2 linked regions of the Oryzias latipes genome follow. The protein of the gene in region 1 purifies or fractionates together with the protein of each later gene. This does not show direct contact. Links are inferred from orthologs where the notes say so. Each region holds a gene or a part of one and is shown on either strand. Other genes may lie near its edges. The genes, in order: mpdz and plekha2.

Evidence for each region.
Region 2: the proteins of mpdz (region 1) and plekha2 purify together in Homo sapiens (affinity purification with western blotting; 3 studies listed by BioGRID and IntAct, with this or other methods). This does not show direct contact. The link is inferred for Oryzias latipes from reciprocal best matches to the Homo sapiens genes MPDZ and PLEKHA2.

The regions. Positions count from the first base shown.
Region 1 is NC_019876.2:9,329,725-9,333,548, forward strand, and holds part of mpdz (multiple PDZ domain protein), read left to right. Parts: coding exon 1-147; intron 148-238; coding exon 239-460; intron 461-2,432; coding exon 2,433-2,594; intron 2,595-3,401; coding exon 3,402-3,554; intron 3,555-3,824. UniProt on the Homo sapiens protein: Member of the NMDAR signaling complex that may play a role in control of AMPAR potentiation and synaptic plasticity in excitatory synapses. Promotes clustering of HT2RC at the cell surface.
Region 2 is NC_019867.2:13,485,629-13,489,427, reverse strand, and holds part of plekha2 (pleckstrin homology domain-containing family A member 2), read left to right. Parts: intron 1-388; coding exon 389-520; intron 521-666; coding exon 667-756; intron 757-823; coding exon 824-892; intron 893-986; coding exon 987-1,057; intron 1,058-1,585; coding exon 1,586-1,649; intron 1,650-3,799. UniProt on the Homo sapiens protein: Binds specifically to phosphatidylinositol 3,4-diphosphate (PtdIns3,4P2), but not to other phosphoinositides. May recruit other proteins to the plasma membrane.

The sequences.
Region 1 (3,824 bases):
TCGGCGGGAAACCCTGAAGCAGCGACGCAGGACACCGTGACAGAGGAGGGGATAGGATCTTCCTTGGCAATGTGGGAGTTAGAGATCCAGAATATTGAGCTGGAGAAGGGAGAAGGAGGATTGGGATTCAGTATTTTGGATTACCAGGTGTTAAAATCCTCCGTGATTCTCATGAGTTGCTCTTTGGACGCCTGCATTTATCCTTGTTTGCTGTCGGTGCAAACCCCTTTCTGCACAGGACCCGCTGGACCCTGCCAAGACGGTGATTGTCATCCGCTCTTTGGTCCCAGACGGCGTCGCCGAGACGGATGGCCGACTGTTGCCAGGAGACAGACTCATGTATGTCAATGACACAAACCTGGAGAACGCGAGTCTGGAGGATGCCGTCCAGGCCCTGAAGGGGGCCAAGCTTGGCAAAGTCCAGATTGGCGTCGCCAAGCCGCTGCCTGTAAGCCTGAGTGTTAGTATCCCGACTTTTGTCTTTGTTTCACACCTATCTGAATTTAGAGATTAGGCCGTGATGAATGTGCGCGCTTTTATGATTGTTGCACGTGTGTAATTGTGCAGCAGAATAAGATGGATCACAGTAGTTGTGTTTGATGTGGAGCTGTAGTTTGTATCGTAGCTTCCAGTCCAGTGTTCTCAGCTTACATGAGCTGAAATTTTGATGTGGGGAAGAGAAGGTGAGGTTGGCTGCATGGAGTTGAATTTCTCCCAGTGTTCTTGAATAATTTGCACCTTTTGCTTCCCTCAATCAAGTTTAAACTGTTTCTTAATCTGTCAAACCTCTGGGGGGCCACATGTATGAAACTTTACATGATGAGGAAAAAGTCTGAGGACTTGCATATTATACACAAACCGTATTCTCCGCTCTAGCAGGTGCACCTAAAAGACTGTTCATTACCTTCAAGTCTGTGTTTTTACAAGATGGAAACAGGTTGCATGGAATTGCTAATGGGCTAACGGGCTAACTTGTAGCGGTGTCAGGCTGTGTTTCTTTTTTTTACATGCTATAAACAAAGTTGGAAGTTGGTGTAGTCACAGTTTGTTTTAGTGGAATTATTCTGTTTTTTACGTGTTACAAAAAAGAGTTGGATTTACAGGTATTAATGCGGCTAACACTTCTTACCTGACTAACGTGTAGCAGTGTGAAACATGTAACTAGCAGGATTGGGAGTTAGAATTGTCGCAGTAATGTTTGTTTTAGCTGTATCAGTCTGTGTTTTTACAAGATGGAAACAGGTTGGATGGAATTGCTAATGCGCTAACAGGCTAACTTGTAGCTTGTAGCTTGTGTTTCTATTTTTTTATTTTTTTCATTTTCGTTTCACCAACAAAATTCCTACTTAGTGTGTCACAGTAACGTTTCTTTTTATTGAACACAGCTCTTTTTATCCTAACACCTCTAACGTGGCTAACGTATATATATATATACTGACCAAAAATATAAACGCAACACTTTTGTTATTGCTCCCATTTTTTATGGTATATACTCAAAGATGTGAAACCTTTTCAACATACACAAAATAACCAGTTCTCTGAAATATTGTTCACAAATCTCTCTAAATCTGTGATAGTGAGCACTTCTCCTTTGCCAAGATTGTAAAGTAATGTAGTCAATCCCGATCAAGAAACTCTATACAGTTTTCAGGAAGTGCTGGGGGCCTGGGAGCTAAGAAAATTTTCCTACAGGCCGCATTTGGCCCACAGTCCGGACTTTGGACATGCATGCTATAAGCCATTGGTGCCACTTTTGTTCTTTTTTGGGAGTGTTTCTGTCGGTTTGAAATTCTTATGTCTGGGATTCGCAACCTAAGTGTGCTCCCTTGAAACGTCATTGGTCCCACAGCACAGAAATAAATGAAGAACACTGTTAGACTTCATGGTGCATTTGTTTAAAAAAATATATCTTTAAAATTTACAGTGATTTAAAACACATTATGTTGACTTTTAAAAAGATTTATACATGTGGCCCCAACGCTGTTAGTTTTTGCATCCGCTTGTTTTATTGGTTCAGGGTGTTTCTTTCTTCAAAGACAGTTTGCATTCTTTTAGCTGCAGAGCTGCATTTTCTTTTCTGGTTATTGAATCAACCGCGTGAGACCTCTGGGCGGCCAGGGTTAGCCAGCTCACACAACCCATAGGGAAGTGCTCCGGGAGGGGATATTTCGCTTGCACGGCCTCTCAAAATTGAACCTGACGCGTGTAATCCTCCATATATTTCCTCTCGCTTCCTCGTGCATCTCTCTGGCACTTGCATGCCCCACAAAATCAAAAGCGCCAGGAACTTGAAGCCCAACTGCGTAGAGTTCAAAAGCTCCCAAATTCCTAACAGTCTCCATCTTCATTTCATACTAATTCATTCTTTATATTTGATGAAATTCACTTATCCAAAAGTAGAAAGACTGAAAGCCTTTCTCCCACTTTCCTAGGGAATATGTGGATATTCCCACTCTCTACACCCATATGGTGACCAGAAAGTAACTCCATCTTCCATCATCCATCAGTCATTTGACTTCAGCAATGTTTTGATTGAAGAAGGAGAGGAGGAGGGACTGGCTGAGGGCGTCCTTTACCGAGCTGAACCTGCATTGGTTAGTTAGTTAGCTGTATGAAAAAACAAAAAAAACAAAAAAACGGAAATGACTTTTTCAAATGATTAAATAAGGTTGAATAAAGAACCATTTTTAAAAGTCAATCACAGTGGTCCCTCGTTTATCGCGGGAGTTACATGCTAAAAGTAACCCACGATAGAAAATCTGTTATTCTCAAAACAGCCGTCTGTTCTTCGTGAACAGATGGTCGTAGCGTCTGCTTAGCTAATTTGCAAACAAACAACACTTAGATGTTGTTCCTTTGTACACTGTGAGGATGAAACACTTGTTGCCATGGATACACAACACTAATTTGACTTTGGTGTCTGGAGTTTTTTATTTTATTTTTTTTTTTTTTTAGACACACGCAGACGTAAAACAGCTAACGATATCGGTAAAACGGGATTCACGCCAGATTTTCACGGAAAAAAAGCCTATATTTGTTAGTCCGATGTGTCATTATCGGATAAAGTTACTTGATAAAGTAGGATTACTTGTGAAATCAGATCACCAACTATATTAGTGTTGTCCATGTGACCATTGTATTAGAAAACATCCTGTCAATAAATGCGCGGAAAAACGAAGAAAAAAAATAAAAAATAAGAGAAGGCAAGCAACATGGTAAACAAAACAAAACAAAAAAAATCTGAGAAGGAGTGAGACCCCTAAAGGTATAACGCGATATAGCGAGCGACCACTGTATACAAAATCAAACGGTTTGTTGTTGTTTGGGTACACCTTGATTTAAGAAACATTAGCATCTTTTCTTTATTGTCTCGACTTTGACTGGACAATACATCGTTGCAGATTGATCCTTGTGAAGGAGACCTTTCTGATGAAAGGATGTTAGATCACACCTACTCGGGGGTAGAGGAGGACACTTTCCAGGTGTCCATGATTGCTCTGCATGGGAGTGCCTGCAGCACTGACCTGGATTATCTGCAATCATCCACACCTAAGGTAGGCACATGCTTTGGGTTTGGAGGATCTTTCTTTGATGTTTATGCTACATTTTTTACAGAAATACTAGGGAGGACTTTTTCCAAATGGGACATGCTTTTAAACTTGATATACAGACACTAACCCCTCCCCCAGTGAATTCTTAAAGTGTGTTTTGTATTTTAATTGTGCTAAAATGTAGATCAGATCAAAATTAAGCACACTTTCTTTTAGCAGGCACATGGCCACTTAAAACACAATTTGACTTAAAAATCAGCTTCAAGCCAAAAT
Region 2 (3,799 bases), on another chromosome or scaffold:
GACGATTGAGGTGTGACTTAAAACAAACCTATTTACTAGTTTACATCTCATTGCTGTTTTAGATTGATGGTAAATTCTGCAATGATTTCTTCTTCATAAAGATTTTTAAGTTTCATATCGGGTCTGTGAATAACAGAGCATCTCATGTATTTAAAGCAAAGGTCTGGTTGATTGTACAGTGATGTTTAGAAATTTTAGACCTCATGATCTTTAGCAGTTTGCAAGTCTTTGTGAGCAGTTGAAGAACTCACATGCTACTAACTGAGCTCACTTCAACTTCAATTATGAGTTTTTCTTTCTAATCTAACATCCAGATCTGCCCTGTTATAAATAATCTTTCAAAGTGCTGTGTGGGATTTTGTTTTAATATTACACGGCTGGATTACAGGTCCCCAAGTATTGCCCCCCACCAGTGAGACCTGATGTGACCCCTGAGATCAACGTGACTCACAAAGGGAAGAGGCAGCAGGCCTACAAGACTGAGATCATTGGCGGCGTGGTGGTCCACACTCCCATTCAGGTGACTTAAAGACCAAACTGTCTAAGCAGCAAAAATCAGAAATCCTTTACTGTCATTGTTACACAAGAATCTTGTGACATCTTAATGTAAAAGAACGCAACAGTTTTTTAATCCATAACTTTTTTTTTTCCTCGTAAATGTTTCAGAATGACGCTGAAGAAACAAATGGGAAGGAGAGGAAGGGGAACAGGCCTGGTGTGTTGAGATGTGGTTACTGTGTTAAACAAGGAAATGTGGTGAGTGGTCAACCTCTCATAACACAGTAACTGTTTGTCTGAATAAATAAACCGAGTGTGTTTGCAGAGGAAGAGCTGGAAGAGGCGATATTTCACCCTGGATGATAACGCAGTCTGTTACTACAAGTCTGAAAATGTAAGACAGCAGAATTACAGCTTTTTTTTGTTTTGTTTTGTTTTGATGTCTGTCATTGATGCCGTTAAGTGACAGCGGTGTTTGTGTGTCCCAGGACAAGGAGCCCCTCCGAGCTGTTCCGCTGAGAGAAATTCAAAAGGTCCATGAATGTCTCGTCAAATCAGGGTGAGTCAGACATGAATCACAGTCAGATTTTTTCCCCAGTTTAGCTTCTTCTCTGTCTGGTTATCTGTCTCACAAAAATAGAAATCAAATGCAGTTTTTGGAAATGACTTACCGAAAATGCCGAAAACAAGTGTGTATATGAGCTGCTGCAGTGTGAGTGTATGAAACTTATATATCATCCAACAACCTCTGACTGTCTTTGCAGAGCTTCCCTCATGTTGATCAGGCCTTTCACCACGTGATTCAGCAATGAATGTGACTGAGCACAGCTGATAGTGATAACTTAAAGAATTCATCTTTTTTTTGTGTGTGAAGATTTTAAGTTTGCTGACAGAGATTAAATCTTATTTCTTTATTCTTTATTGCTTTCTCATCACAAAAACATTTATTTTGTCAAAATCCTTAAAAAAAAGTTTAAACGTAAATTATTCTTTTAATGAATTATTTATTTCATTTTCAATGTTAAGACATTACATAACAAAACCTCGAACACTAACATAGTCATTTTTCACTTTTTCCTCCTGTTAGGGATCTGCTGCTCAGAGACAATCTTTTTGAGATCATCACCAGCTCTAGAACGTTCTATATCCAGGTAAAAAGTCTTGCTTACAAACATCTTTTTTTTAAATCCTGTATTTAATATCATTACAATGTCCTGCTGCTTAGGAAGAAAATGAAAAACAGCACATGAAATTTTTCTGCTGCATCTGTCCTGATGTGTTGACATGTTGTCTCTGAATGCTCTGCTGCTGATGTGAGACCACCGCTCCTTTTTTAGGACCCTACACAGTTTGTTTTTGTGAAAGGAGCACAGCCATGTGTAACCATAACAACAACAATAATATTCTTGCTCCTCTTGGGAGAGCAGCTGACTGATCAGATGGGAAGTGCTTTGGAGAGAAAGAGGCCGACTGAGAGCACCAGAGCTTTTATGTTTATCTTTGCAAAAAAGAAAAAAAAGGGAAGTGTGAGAAACATTTAGTAAGCTCAAGTAAACATGTCAACTGAAGATTTTGGTCCCATTCTGAACTCTTGTTTATACTTAAAAAAATAGTTAACACTTCTCAATACAAATAATTATTTGGTTTTGATTGATGTAATAACCCAAAATCATATATATTTATTTGTTTTTTAAAAATGTTACATTGTTTAACTCGGAAAGGGGGGGATAAGATTATTGCATTCTGCATGAACGAACAAAATAAAGTGATTAACGCTGAAAGAAGTTTTTGTTGAGTGTTATGTAAGACTTGAGGTTGAAATGGCTCATGATTGCTACAGAGCTCCATAAGCTGATGGTTAAATAATAAAAAAGCTAAGCTGAAGCCACAATCAAATGCTAAATTGGTGGCAAAGATGAAAGAGATTCTGATTCTCTGTTGTGGAACAGATTAAAAAAAAAAGCTGAAGTTGATACAACGATTTTTTGGGCGGTTCAGATCTCACTCTCTCAATTGGTTACATATTGGATGGTCATGGTGCAGAGGTAGACCGGTCGACCTCTGATTGGAAGATTGCAGGTTCAGTTCCCACCCTGCTTATGTGTTGAAGTGTCCTTGAGCTGGACACTGAACCCCACATTCCTCCTGGTGCTTATAGATTGGCACCAGTGTTTGGCAGTGGAGCTGCCATCAGTGTGTGAATGTGTGTGTGGATGGGACTGCAACTTAAAAGCTACTTGGGCCATCTGAGAAGGTAGTAAAGTGCTAAATATACGCCATAGTAAACTGTCGGCCTTCTTTCACTACAAAGGCTGTGATTAACTCATCTTCCACCTTTGACCCCGAAAAATAAAAAAAAAAGGTTTAGAAAATGGGAAGAGAGCGACATGATGATGTTCATTTAATGCTAAGCTAACAGCACAGAAACATTATTCAACATTAAGCATGCAAAAAATGAAAAAATGAAAAAGTCAAATTTAAATGGTGTTTTTTTTAACTTATTTATTCCCAATGAGGTGTATGGGCTTTGAAAATATAACATCCAATTTTCTTTCTTTCTTTGTTCCATCATAGGTGAACAAAAATATATATTTCTGCCACAAGTGATCAAAATTGGAAGAATTTTAATTCCATTTCCAAGTCGTGGTGTCACTTTAGCGATTTAAGTTTTATGCTTATAACAAATGTACTACTGAGTCTGCGTGGGGGTGTTGCCACAATGCACAAGCCCGGATTTAAATGCCAATTCAAGTCAGTGAGACCTAAGTCCATCTATCCTTACATTTTCCATTTTGCAAACCCGCTGAATGCTTGTCAGGGTCACGGGGTTGATGGAGCCTACAGCAGCTACTGTTGGCCAAAGGCGGGGAACACTCTGGACAAGTTGCCAGTCTTAGGGACAACAAATAGCATATGAAGCATGTTTTTGGACTGTGGGTGGAAGCTGGAGTGCCCGGTGAAAAACCCACACATGGCACTGGCAAAATCGGGAAACACACAGAAAGGTCACAGCCAGAATTTGAACCAGGGCCTTCTCAGTTTGAGGCAAGACTGAGGCGAGAGTGCTAACCACTAGCACTCTTGCCTCACAGGACAGATTTTGATAAAAATAAAGTTACTGCTCTGAAAGTTGTGAGAATCTGTTGAGGTCCACACTCTTAACCCTGTTTGCTTCTATACCATTAATGTTTAGCTGCTATTTGTTATTATATTGTGAGAATTGTGAGGCATTGGTTCACTTCCTTTTCTCCCGTCTTCCTAATTCAAATTACGAGGGTCTGCTGGTGCAAGTCCAGGCTCT